2 linked regions of the Caenorhabditis elegans genome follow. The protein of the gene in region 1 purifies or fractionates together with the protein of each later gene. This does not show direct contact. Each region holds a gene or a part of one and is shown on either strand. Other genes may lie near its edges.

Evidence for each region.
Region 2: the proteins of C14C6.5 (region 1) and srrt-1 fractionate together in Caenorhabditis elegans (co-fractionation; one large-scale study listed by BioGRID). This does not show direct contact.

What each region holds. Positions count from the first base shown.
Region 1 is NC_003283.11:534,264-538,316, forward strand, and holds C14C6.5 (ShKT domain-containing protein), read left to right. Parts: upstream 1-2,364; 5' UTR 2,365-2,383; coding exon 2,384-2,552; intron 2,553-2,730; coding exon 2,731-2,904; intron 2,905-2,951; coding exon 2,952-3,112; 3' UTR 3,113-3,155; downstream 3,156-4,053. Other genes in the region: nhr-132 (NR LBD domain-containing protein), read left to right, coding at 254-351, 395-528, 580-980, 1,023-1,216, 1,481-1,751, 1,800-1,904.
Region 2 is NC_003279.8:4,130,865-4,136,234, forward strand, and holds srrt-1 (Serrate RNA effector molecule homolog), read left to right. Parts: upstream 1-1,635; 5' UTR 1,636-1,636; coding exon 1,637-1,704; intron 1,705-1,759; coding exon 1,760-1,852; intron 1,853-1,897; coding exon 1,898-2,128; intron 2,129-2,293; coding exon 2,294-2,463; intron 2,464-2,518; coding exon 2,519-3,626; intron 3,627-3,682; coding exon 3,683-3,993; intron 3,994-4,040; coding exon 4,041-4,198; 3' UTR 4,199-4,373; downstream 4,374-5,370. Other genes in the region: let-504 (NF-kappa-B-activating protein C-terminal domain-containing protein), read right to left, coding at 1-946, 1,138-1,199, 1,257-1,328; dph-6 (Diphthine--ammonia ligase), read right to left, coding at 4,466-4,543, 4,927-5,157. UniProt on the Caenorhabditis elegans protein: Acts as a mediator between the cap-binding complex (CBC) and the primary microRNAs (miRNAs) processing machinery.

The DNA.
Region 1 (4,053 bases):
AACTCGATTAATGACGGCTGCTATTTGCGATCACAAACAGTTTTTATGATGCAATTTTTCCATTCCAATAATTTATTTGTGTTATTCACTCACCTAGCCACCTGCGTCTTTCCTTTCTCCGATTGATTCCTATCTTTCACCATCTGCGTTTCTTCTCCGTATCTTATCTCTCATAAAGTCACACATTGTTCCGATAAACTGTAAGTTTTTGAATAACCTCCCAGCTATTTGATATTTTAAATTTTTTTGAAAAATGGATCAAAACGGACCAGAATGCGAGGTTTGCGGACTTGAGAGCCAGGGCTTTCACTTTGGAGTGCTTTCGTGTAGAGCCTGTTCGGCATTTTTCAGGTAATTTTTGTTAATTTTTTTGAAAAATAATAGTAATTTGCAGACGGACAGCTACTGTCCCAAAATGGCATCAGAAAAATTGCCAAAAACCAAGTAAATGTAAAAATGGAGAGGGTCAATATCACTGCAAGCCGTGTAGGCTCAAAAGATGCATTGCCGTTGGAATGAACACTGAAAGTTAGTTTTTTTTCTTCCTTAATCGCTACCAGAAATGTTAAAAATTTTCAGATTTCCAATTTGACCGAGATGGCCTAGTTGCAAAACTCAAAAAGCCCAAGCTCCCAAAATCGTTCGAAATGTTTGTGGGACGGCCTGAATATGTGCTCTTCTGCACTCCTGGCACATCAGCTCAGATTTCTAACCCAAAAACTCTTATCGACGTCAGTGGTCTCGTTAACAAGGCTTCTAACGTTTTGCTAACTGGTCCAGAAATACCTATAATTGCTCGAGACCAACTTCATAAGCTAGCAATTGGATTCAGTTTCCTAGAGAATACTTCTACAAATATGAAAGATTTCCCGCATTCCTCAAAAGAAGATGTGCTCAAAATATGGGAATTTTATTTTCTCACAGTGGCACGGTGGCTGACGTATTTCGACGAGTTTCAGAAGTTGGACCACAAAATTCAGGTATACTAAAAAAATTGAGCTAGAAAAATTGAATAAATTCAGATGACCCTTCTCCTCGCAATCTGGCACGTTTGGGGACGACTTGACAAGCTTCTGGCAACTGCAATAAATCGGAGACGCGGCTTGTGTCCTACAAAAAACCTGTTGACTCTGAGCAATGGGGTTTTCATCGATATGGAGCATCAAGAAGTTGATGTAGATTGGATGACCAATTACGAGCCGGAGCAAGTTTTGACGTAAGTTATTTTGGAAAAAAAATTGAACCGCCATAAAACATGTTTTACACATTTTTTTTGAGAAGTTTCCTCCTTTCCTGTTAAGCCTGTTCAGCTTAGCGTAAAACGCGGAATTTTTCAATTTTTCTACCTACAATTGTCATAAAGTATTGTACATTTTTGACAAACACAGTTTCTGAGAAAAAACGCGAAAGTTTACAAGAAAACCCCCATTGGTTAGTCAAACAACTGGCTACAATTCCAGCGTAATTCCAAAACTTTCAGCTTCATAGACGGAGTGCGCGCCCGAGAGCTCACCAAAGAAATCGACCCTTTAGTAGAGCTTGAGCCATCTGACATTGAATCCGCCTACATGCTTGCCCAACTCTGCTTCCACTACGCAGGAAAACGATTTGCTGGTGAAATCCAAGAAATTTGTGATCACCTTCAAGACGTTCTTGCTCAAAACCTACATGAATATTACCAAAATGAGAAGAAAATTGATCGATACTCGGGAAGACTGGCGAAGCTAATAAAGATTAATGGAGCAGTTCAGGTACTGATTTTAACAAGAAAATTTATTCCAATAAAATAAAACTTACAGAAAAACATTTGGGAAAATCGATCAAAAATCAAAATTTCCAAGACTTTTGACATGCTCTCCATAGAGACTTCCCATCCGGAAATGTTTTATGACACTGGATTTTAATTTGGTTTTTTTTTATTGTTGACGCATGTATTTATCCAGAAAAATGTGTTGTTAATAAAGTTCAGATATTGGCTGAAAATTTGAAGACTGAAACCAATATGATTGTGATTTTAGTGCGGCTAGTAAAAAAATTGCTTAAAACACGAATATGTGATCACAGTGATTTTCAAAAAAAATGTTATCATTCGTTCAATGTGACCTCATAGGCGTGTTTTGAAAAAAATTTCCCCAATGGACAGACCCTTTAATTCACCTTCACTTTGTCGACTGAAAATCGAAGAATCAATGATAAAAACTTAGTTCAGCACGTTGATGTAATCTGCAAACAAATCATTTCCGATTTTTGCAATGAAAATTACGATAAGATATGTAAAACGTATGGGTTTTTGGAGATTATTTTTTAAAAAATCATCACGCCCAAAAAAAGGAGACGCTTAAAAGCTGCACACAAACTTCCTAAATGCTCATTCAGACTCAAAATGTATTCACATGGTATTGCTGCCTTTCTTCTGGTTCTAGTTAGCCAGGCAAGTGCTGAAATTAAGCTCGGATGTAAGTCAGATCCTATGCCAGATGCTAACGGCAAATGCCCACCTGGCACTACTATGATTACTGCTGGAGGATGCTGCCCAGACAATGATGTTTACAGTAAGTTTTTACGATGTTTTACACTTTATTTGCGGCGGACATCTAACGGGTCTCATACACTCCTGATGATAGAGAACGATTTTTAAAAACCCGCAATTTGTCCGCTGCAACCTATTTCTCGAGTTTCGTAGTTTACTTCCAAAACACTGATTACATATGTACCAATTGAAACTTTCAGTCATCTCTGACACAACTACGACAATGGCACCAACCACTCCATCACCCGGATCATGTTGTGATAAGATCAACCCAAAAACTGGTGTCAGTGACTGCCCAGGAATGAAGAACTACTGTAACTATGGTCCATATATTGATATTATGAAGGATCAGTGTCCAAAGACCTGCGGATACTGTAAGTTAGCTTTTTAAGACACAAAGTAGTCACCAGCAAAGGTTCAGGTGGCTCCGGCTCGGCGACAACTCCAGGAATCTGCAGAGACAAGTTGAATCCGACCACTGGAGTCAGTGACTGCCCGGCTAGACGAAATTTGTGCAATAATGGAATCTACCACGATGTGATGAAAGACCAGTGCCCCAAGACATGCGGTTATTGCAAATAGTTTTATGTTTGTGTTAAATATAATAAATACCAGAACATTCTCGTTTTATTTTCAGATTTCAAACAAATTTCAGAATTTTTCCGCATTACTAGAGTCTGTCGTTGGATCTAGTCGCAATGACGACATAATATTTTGGGTGTACGTGCACTCTTCAGTCTATCGATCTTCGAAATCGACCGGAATTTTTTTGGGCGACGTAAAATTGAGGTCGTCGGCGAATGAAACACGCCGCTTTTGTTTCGGTGCTTAGAAATGATTTCTCGAATTCCCGCGCAAATGAATGACCTAGTTTTGATATTTTTGCGGTTTTGGTAGAATTCGTTGAATTATATGATTGAAAACATTTTTGTCACTAATTTTGCATAGAAAACATAAGAAATTTGGTCAAACTCTAGAATTAATCTACAGAAGTTTTCAGAGGAAAAATGTCTGGAAATTTTACATCAGAGAATTAATTCAAAAAATGACCGAGAGATTCAGATTCAGGAAAACAAAAAAAATTGAAACAAACCATGAAACGTTTCTGCGAAAGAAATCAAAAATTATTCAGCCATTTAAATTTTTCTTTTGACAAAATTGCAAATGATTCAGATTGAACCAACAAAGAATAACTCAAAAATCTGATAATAATGGTTCAAATTACTTAAACATAATTATATTAAAACAAGCATATTCACGATCCTGCGAGTTTTTTCTAAAACTATCAGAAAATGGGTTTAAGGAAAGTCAAATTTCGTGGATGATATGACGTCACCTGCCATCGCTGAAGTTGCTCTTTTCCTTTGCTCCTTTCGATTTTTCTGACACACTCCAGATAAAGTTACGTGAATTTTCTCAAAAGGCAAAAAATGAGAACACTGAGATTTCGAGCGTTGCTGTAAGCTTAAACACCTATAATTTTCAAAAAATAACAACTAAAAAATGTTTAAAAAATTTTTCCG
Region 2 (5,370 bases), on another chromosome or scaffold:
TTCAGACTGCTTTTCTTCCCATTCTTCTTCAGTATCAGAACGATTATTAATCTTTCTCTTCAGCTCAGCACGTTCTTTCTTTCGTTGCTCACGACGAGCTCTTCTCTCTTCTTTCTCCTTATTTGCCTTTTTGCTCTTTTTCTTCTCTTTCTTTTCCTTCTTTTTATCCTTTTTACTTTTCTTTGATTTCTTCACCTTCTTCTTCTTCTTCTGTTCAAAATCACTTTCCTCCGATTCAGAAGATGTCGAAGAATCGTCTTCAGAAACATTTCTAACTGCTCTCATTTCTCTTTTCTTCTCCTTCCTTCTATCTTCTTTCAGTTCTTCTCGTTTCTTTTCATTTTCTGCTTGAATCTCTTCAGCCGCAACTCTCAATTTATAAGTGTCATGTATCTCCTCATGAGTTGGCGAATGTCCCCAGATGTTATTCAGGCCATCGGCTTGGATATTAACTCGCTGGAAACGTCTTTTTGACCACATTTCAGCTCTACGATTTTCTTCTTCATCCCTCCAATTTCTAACAGGCGGCGAGCCGCTTCGTTGTCGTTGTCTATAATTTCTTCTTGGTGGAGACTTTGAACGGCTCTGATCTCGTCTACGTTTTGCTGGTGGTGGACTTCTTGAGCGTTGTTGTCTTCTCGGAGGAGGAGATCGACTCCTGGAAACTTGACGTCGTGGTGGAGATCGGCTTCTTCTGACTGGGCTCCTTGAAATTCGACGACGTCTTGGTGGAGAAGGACTACGACGAGTACGACGTGGTGGAGATCGGCTTCGTTTTCTTGGAGAATCATCACGACGTCTTCGTGGCGGTGAGGCACTCGGAGCACGAATTGGCTCTCGTTTTCGTTTTGGAGGCGAATTTTTTACAACTGGGCTTGAAGATCGAGAACGGGAGTCTGATTCGGAACTTGAACGGCTTCTACTTCGACTACTTCTGGAGGAATCTCTGAAATTATAAATTATAATTATTTTTATTTTAAAAAAACGTAAATTTCGCTTCAGAAAATCCAAAGTAGTCTCAAATTTAGAAATATTACAAAAGAAAATCGAAAAAATCCAAGTTTAAAAAGCGCGATTTTCCTATTCTGGTTTGAGAAAATGTTGTATTTTTTAAGCAAAAATTGATTGAAAACTCACCTTTTTGACTTCCACATTGGTTTGTCTTTGTCCCCGCTGCCACTATTCGTTCTTCTTCTGTTCTAAAAGTAATTTTAAATGAAAATAACATTTTTTGAACGTGCAAAACGGCAAAGTACCTCTCTCGACGATGATCTTGAACTTCGTGAATCATCTGAACTGCCTTCATAATCCAAAGAAATATCACTCATCTTGTGAATTGAAGTAGAAATCGGCGCGCAATCAAAAAATTCCGGAATTCAATAAAAAAATGATTTCGAAAATGACTGGAGATAAAAAAGAACAGAATTTCTGCGCGGCGGTGTTGCCGAGCAAGTCTCCGCCCACTTTAACCGTGCGGCGTGCAGCGTTCAAATTGGAAAAAAACATTGCGCGTTCTTTAGCATATTTTTCAGTGATTTTCTGCATTTTCTGCTCGCAAAATGTGTTTATTTTGATCCAAATAAATTTGATTTCTTCTGAATCACTTCAATTTATCAAATAAATTCTTATTTACAGAATGGTGGACTCTGATGATGATGGCGATCGCCGCCGTGACAAATTCGCCCGTGAACGTCGTGATGAGGAGTAAGTTTCTTTCTATTATATTTCAAATACTAAAAAATCACTCATTCTGTTTCAGTTATCGCCGTGGTGGAGGCGGATTCAATCGCTATGACAACAAGCGTCCTGGAGGACGAAGAGATGATTACCAAGTAAAGCGGAGTCGTGGAGAGTTAGTATCGTTTTTTGTTTACGTTGAAAATCTATGTTTTTTCAGCGACGCAGATGACAGTTTCGATCCCGTAAGTCGTTCTGGTAATGGTTCGGATTTACCCACTGAATCGGATTCCATATATTCGGGACCACTTCAAACATTCAAAAAGTTCCTCACTAGCCAGGAAGATGATATCTCGGAAGAAGATGCTATCAAAAAATATAATGAGTACAAGACAGAACATAGAAAACATCAACTTGAACGGTTCTTCCGTGCCCATAAAGACGAAGAATGGTAAATTTCAGCTTCGATTTTCAAGACCAGAGGCGCATTATGCCGCGGTCAACGGATTGGTTATATCTTTGAATTTTTCACTCGGCACGGATGCCATTCACATTTTGTTCCAATACCCGTTGTCTTTTAATATCTTGAGTTCTAATTTTTCAACATCTATTTCAGGTTCCGTCTTAAATACAAACCGGATGATGCGAAGAAGTTGCGAGAGGCGCATTTGGAAAATGTGCAGAAGCGCTTGCAGGTTTTCAATGAGTTGAAGGAGCAGGGACAATTCAATAAATTCTCTCTGGATTTCGGAGATGCGGAGGCAATCATTAGAATGCTAGATTCAGGTAGATTTTGTTTTTAAAGGTTTCGAATATATGTTTAATTTTGTTGTATTTTCAGTTGTTGTCAAGCTGGAAAATGGAACTGAAGACGAGTTGAAAGCTGTTCTGGCTCAAAAACTAGAAGACGAGTCACTCGCTGACATTAAAAAAGACGAGAATGGGAATGGAACCGAACAGCCGAAAGAAGAGCCAGAAGTAAAACAAGAATCCGGAGCAACGGAAGAGTTGGAAGAGGGAGCCATTGAAGATGGAACCGAAAAGTCATCGAACAAGGTCAACATCCACAGAACCTGCTCGGTTTTCTTGAGAAATATCCCACCAGGTCTCACATATGAGGAACTAGAGGGTCTCTGTAAAAAGAGCCCAGGATTTTTACGTCTTGCTCTGACCGATGGAATTGCCGAAAGAAAGTTCTACAGAAGAGGATGGGCTACATTCAAGCGAGATATCAATATCAAAGAAATCTGCTGGGCACTCAACGCACATCGTCTGCGAGAAACTGATCTGAATGCAATCATCAACCGTGACATTACTCGTCGTGTTCGTACCAATAATGGGATTGCATCTCATAAGCAAGTTGCGATTAACGATCTGAAGCTTGCTGTCAAGCTCACTGTTCTTTATGACAAGAAGATTGGTTTGTTCAACGCTGCTGATGAAGCTGATGCTGATCGTGAGATGGATATTCGTATGGGCGTTGATTTAGTCGCTGCTTCAACGAATCCGTTGATTAAAGAAGTTAAATCACTTGTTCCACATGATGTTCTCAATGATATTAGTGAAGAGGAAGCTGAATTATTGGGAGTCTCGAATGGAGGTGAAGCACCAGCTGAAAAGATTCGGTTTGAGCGCGATGATAATATCCTGAAGGCTCTCGATCTTCTCATCGTTTACCTTCGCATTGTTCATTCCATCGATTTTTATAATCACGGACATTATGCGCAGGAAGATTCGATGCCGAATCGATGTGGCTTGATTCACGTTCGTGGGCAGCCGCCTTCTGGAGTATCAATCACTACTGACGAGGATGGAGCTCTCGTCGTTCCACAGAAATTTGTGAACGATTTTATTTCGGGATTCAATAGCCGCATTGAGAAAGGGTTGATTGAAAAGCAGTATGTAAGCGAGGAAGAATTGGAGAAAATGGGCAAGAAGGATGGAGAAAAGTAAGTGAAAAAATTTGCTTTTTTAAAAATAATTTTTAACAAACCCAAATTTTCAGGGAAGTTGAAGCTTTTATTCAAAAGAATACTGTCGAGTTGGCAAAGGATAAATGGCTCTGTCCGCTTTCTGGAAAGAAATTCAAGGGACCTGAATTCATCCGAAAGCACTTGCAGTCTAAACATGAAGACAAGCTGGAGGAAGCGAGAGCAGAAGCTGACTTTTTCAACAATTATCTTGCCGACGCCCAAAGACCAGTCGACTGTGAGCCCAAACAAGCTCCAAGAGATGATCATCGTGGAGGTGGTGGTGGTGAGCGAGGTGGATATGGAAGAGAACGAGACGATGATCGAGGACCTGGTGGTGGAGGAAGTGAGTTGTTCAACTCTTGAAATTTCATAAATATGATTAATTTTCAGGAAACTCTTTTGGCGGTGGAGGATATGATCGTCGTCCCCAATTCCCTCCTCGACATTCACTTGGTGGACGAGGTGGTGGTGGACGCTACTTCGAGGATGCGCCACGTCGTCAGCCAGTCTCGTATCGCGATTTGGATGCTCCAGATGATATTCCATAATTCCATCCTACGTTGAATCCAATTCAAATATATGCACAACAAATTATGCTATTTATTTCCCCCTTCTCAATTAAATATTAGTTTTAACTAAATGTTTTTGTATGGCCAATAATAATCTCCTTTTTTAAAAAACGCTCCATTTTCAATACGTCCCTAATGAAATATGATTCTGTGTAACTCAACGGAACTTTTTATTAGAAAACAATCATCATAACAAGAAAAGTAAATATAACATTTAAAATTAACAAAAGTACATGTTTTCCCATCTCACTTGTCCTCCAAGTGCATCTTTTTCAGTCGGAGGTAGAACACAGGAGCAATGGGATCATCTTGGTGGGTTACTGTCTGGAAAAATACAGAATGTTGAAAGTTGGATTTCAAGTATTACGGGAGCTGAGAATGTGTATTGCGCAACATATTTGACGCGCAGATTGTCTCGTAGCGAAAACTACAGTAATTCTTTAAATGACTACTGTAGCGCTGTTGTCGATTTACGGGCTAGATTTTTTGAGATTAATTTCTTTTCGAATAGTGACAGGGTTTCTTCACATAATTTTCTATATTTTTTCGATAAATAAAGAATTTTAATTATTTTCGAAAATCAATCCCGTAAATCGACACAAGCGCTACAGTAGTCATTTGAAGAATTACGGTAGTTTTCGCTACACGATATTGTGCTCGCCAAATATGTTGCACCATACGCATTCTCAGAATTGTGTAATATCTACCTCCGTTTCATCGATAACAATTCGCTTTTTAAAAAGCGGGCAATCTCGTACAAATGACTCGAATTCTCCACCTTCACCGCACGGATGAACTCCATATTTATCCTGAAGAACTTTCATAATTGGTGCCATTTCTGACAACGTTTTTCCGAGATGTTGCTCGCCGAGCCCAATGGCGGCCACTTTGATGAGAATCGCGTCGAGACCATTTTCTACCATTTCGGCAAGAAGGCCCTGGAAAAAATTGTTCGTAAACTTTTTTTAAAGGATTTTAAATATATACCTTCTTAAAGGCGCACCGATTTATCCTCGGCGTGTCTCGTATCTTTTTTGCAGTTTTTTTCATTTATTTTGGCAAATCAAAGAGAAAAAATAGACTACCATTAACTTTTTTCGCGCCGAGACCCAGCTGAATACACCCGTGTCCCTTTAAGAAGGCATGTGAAA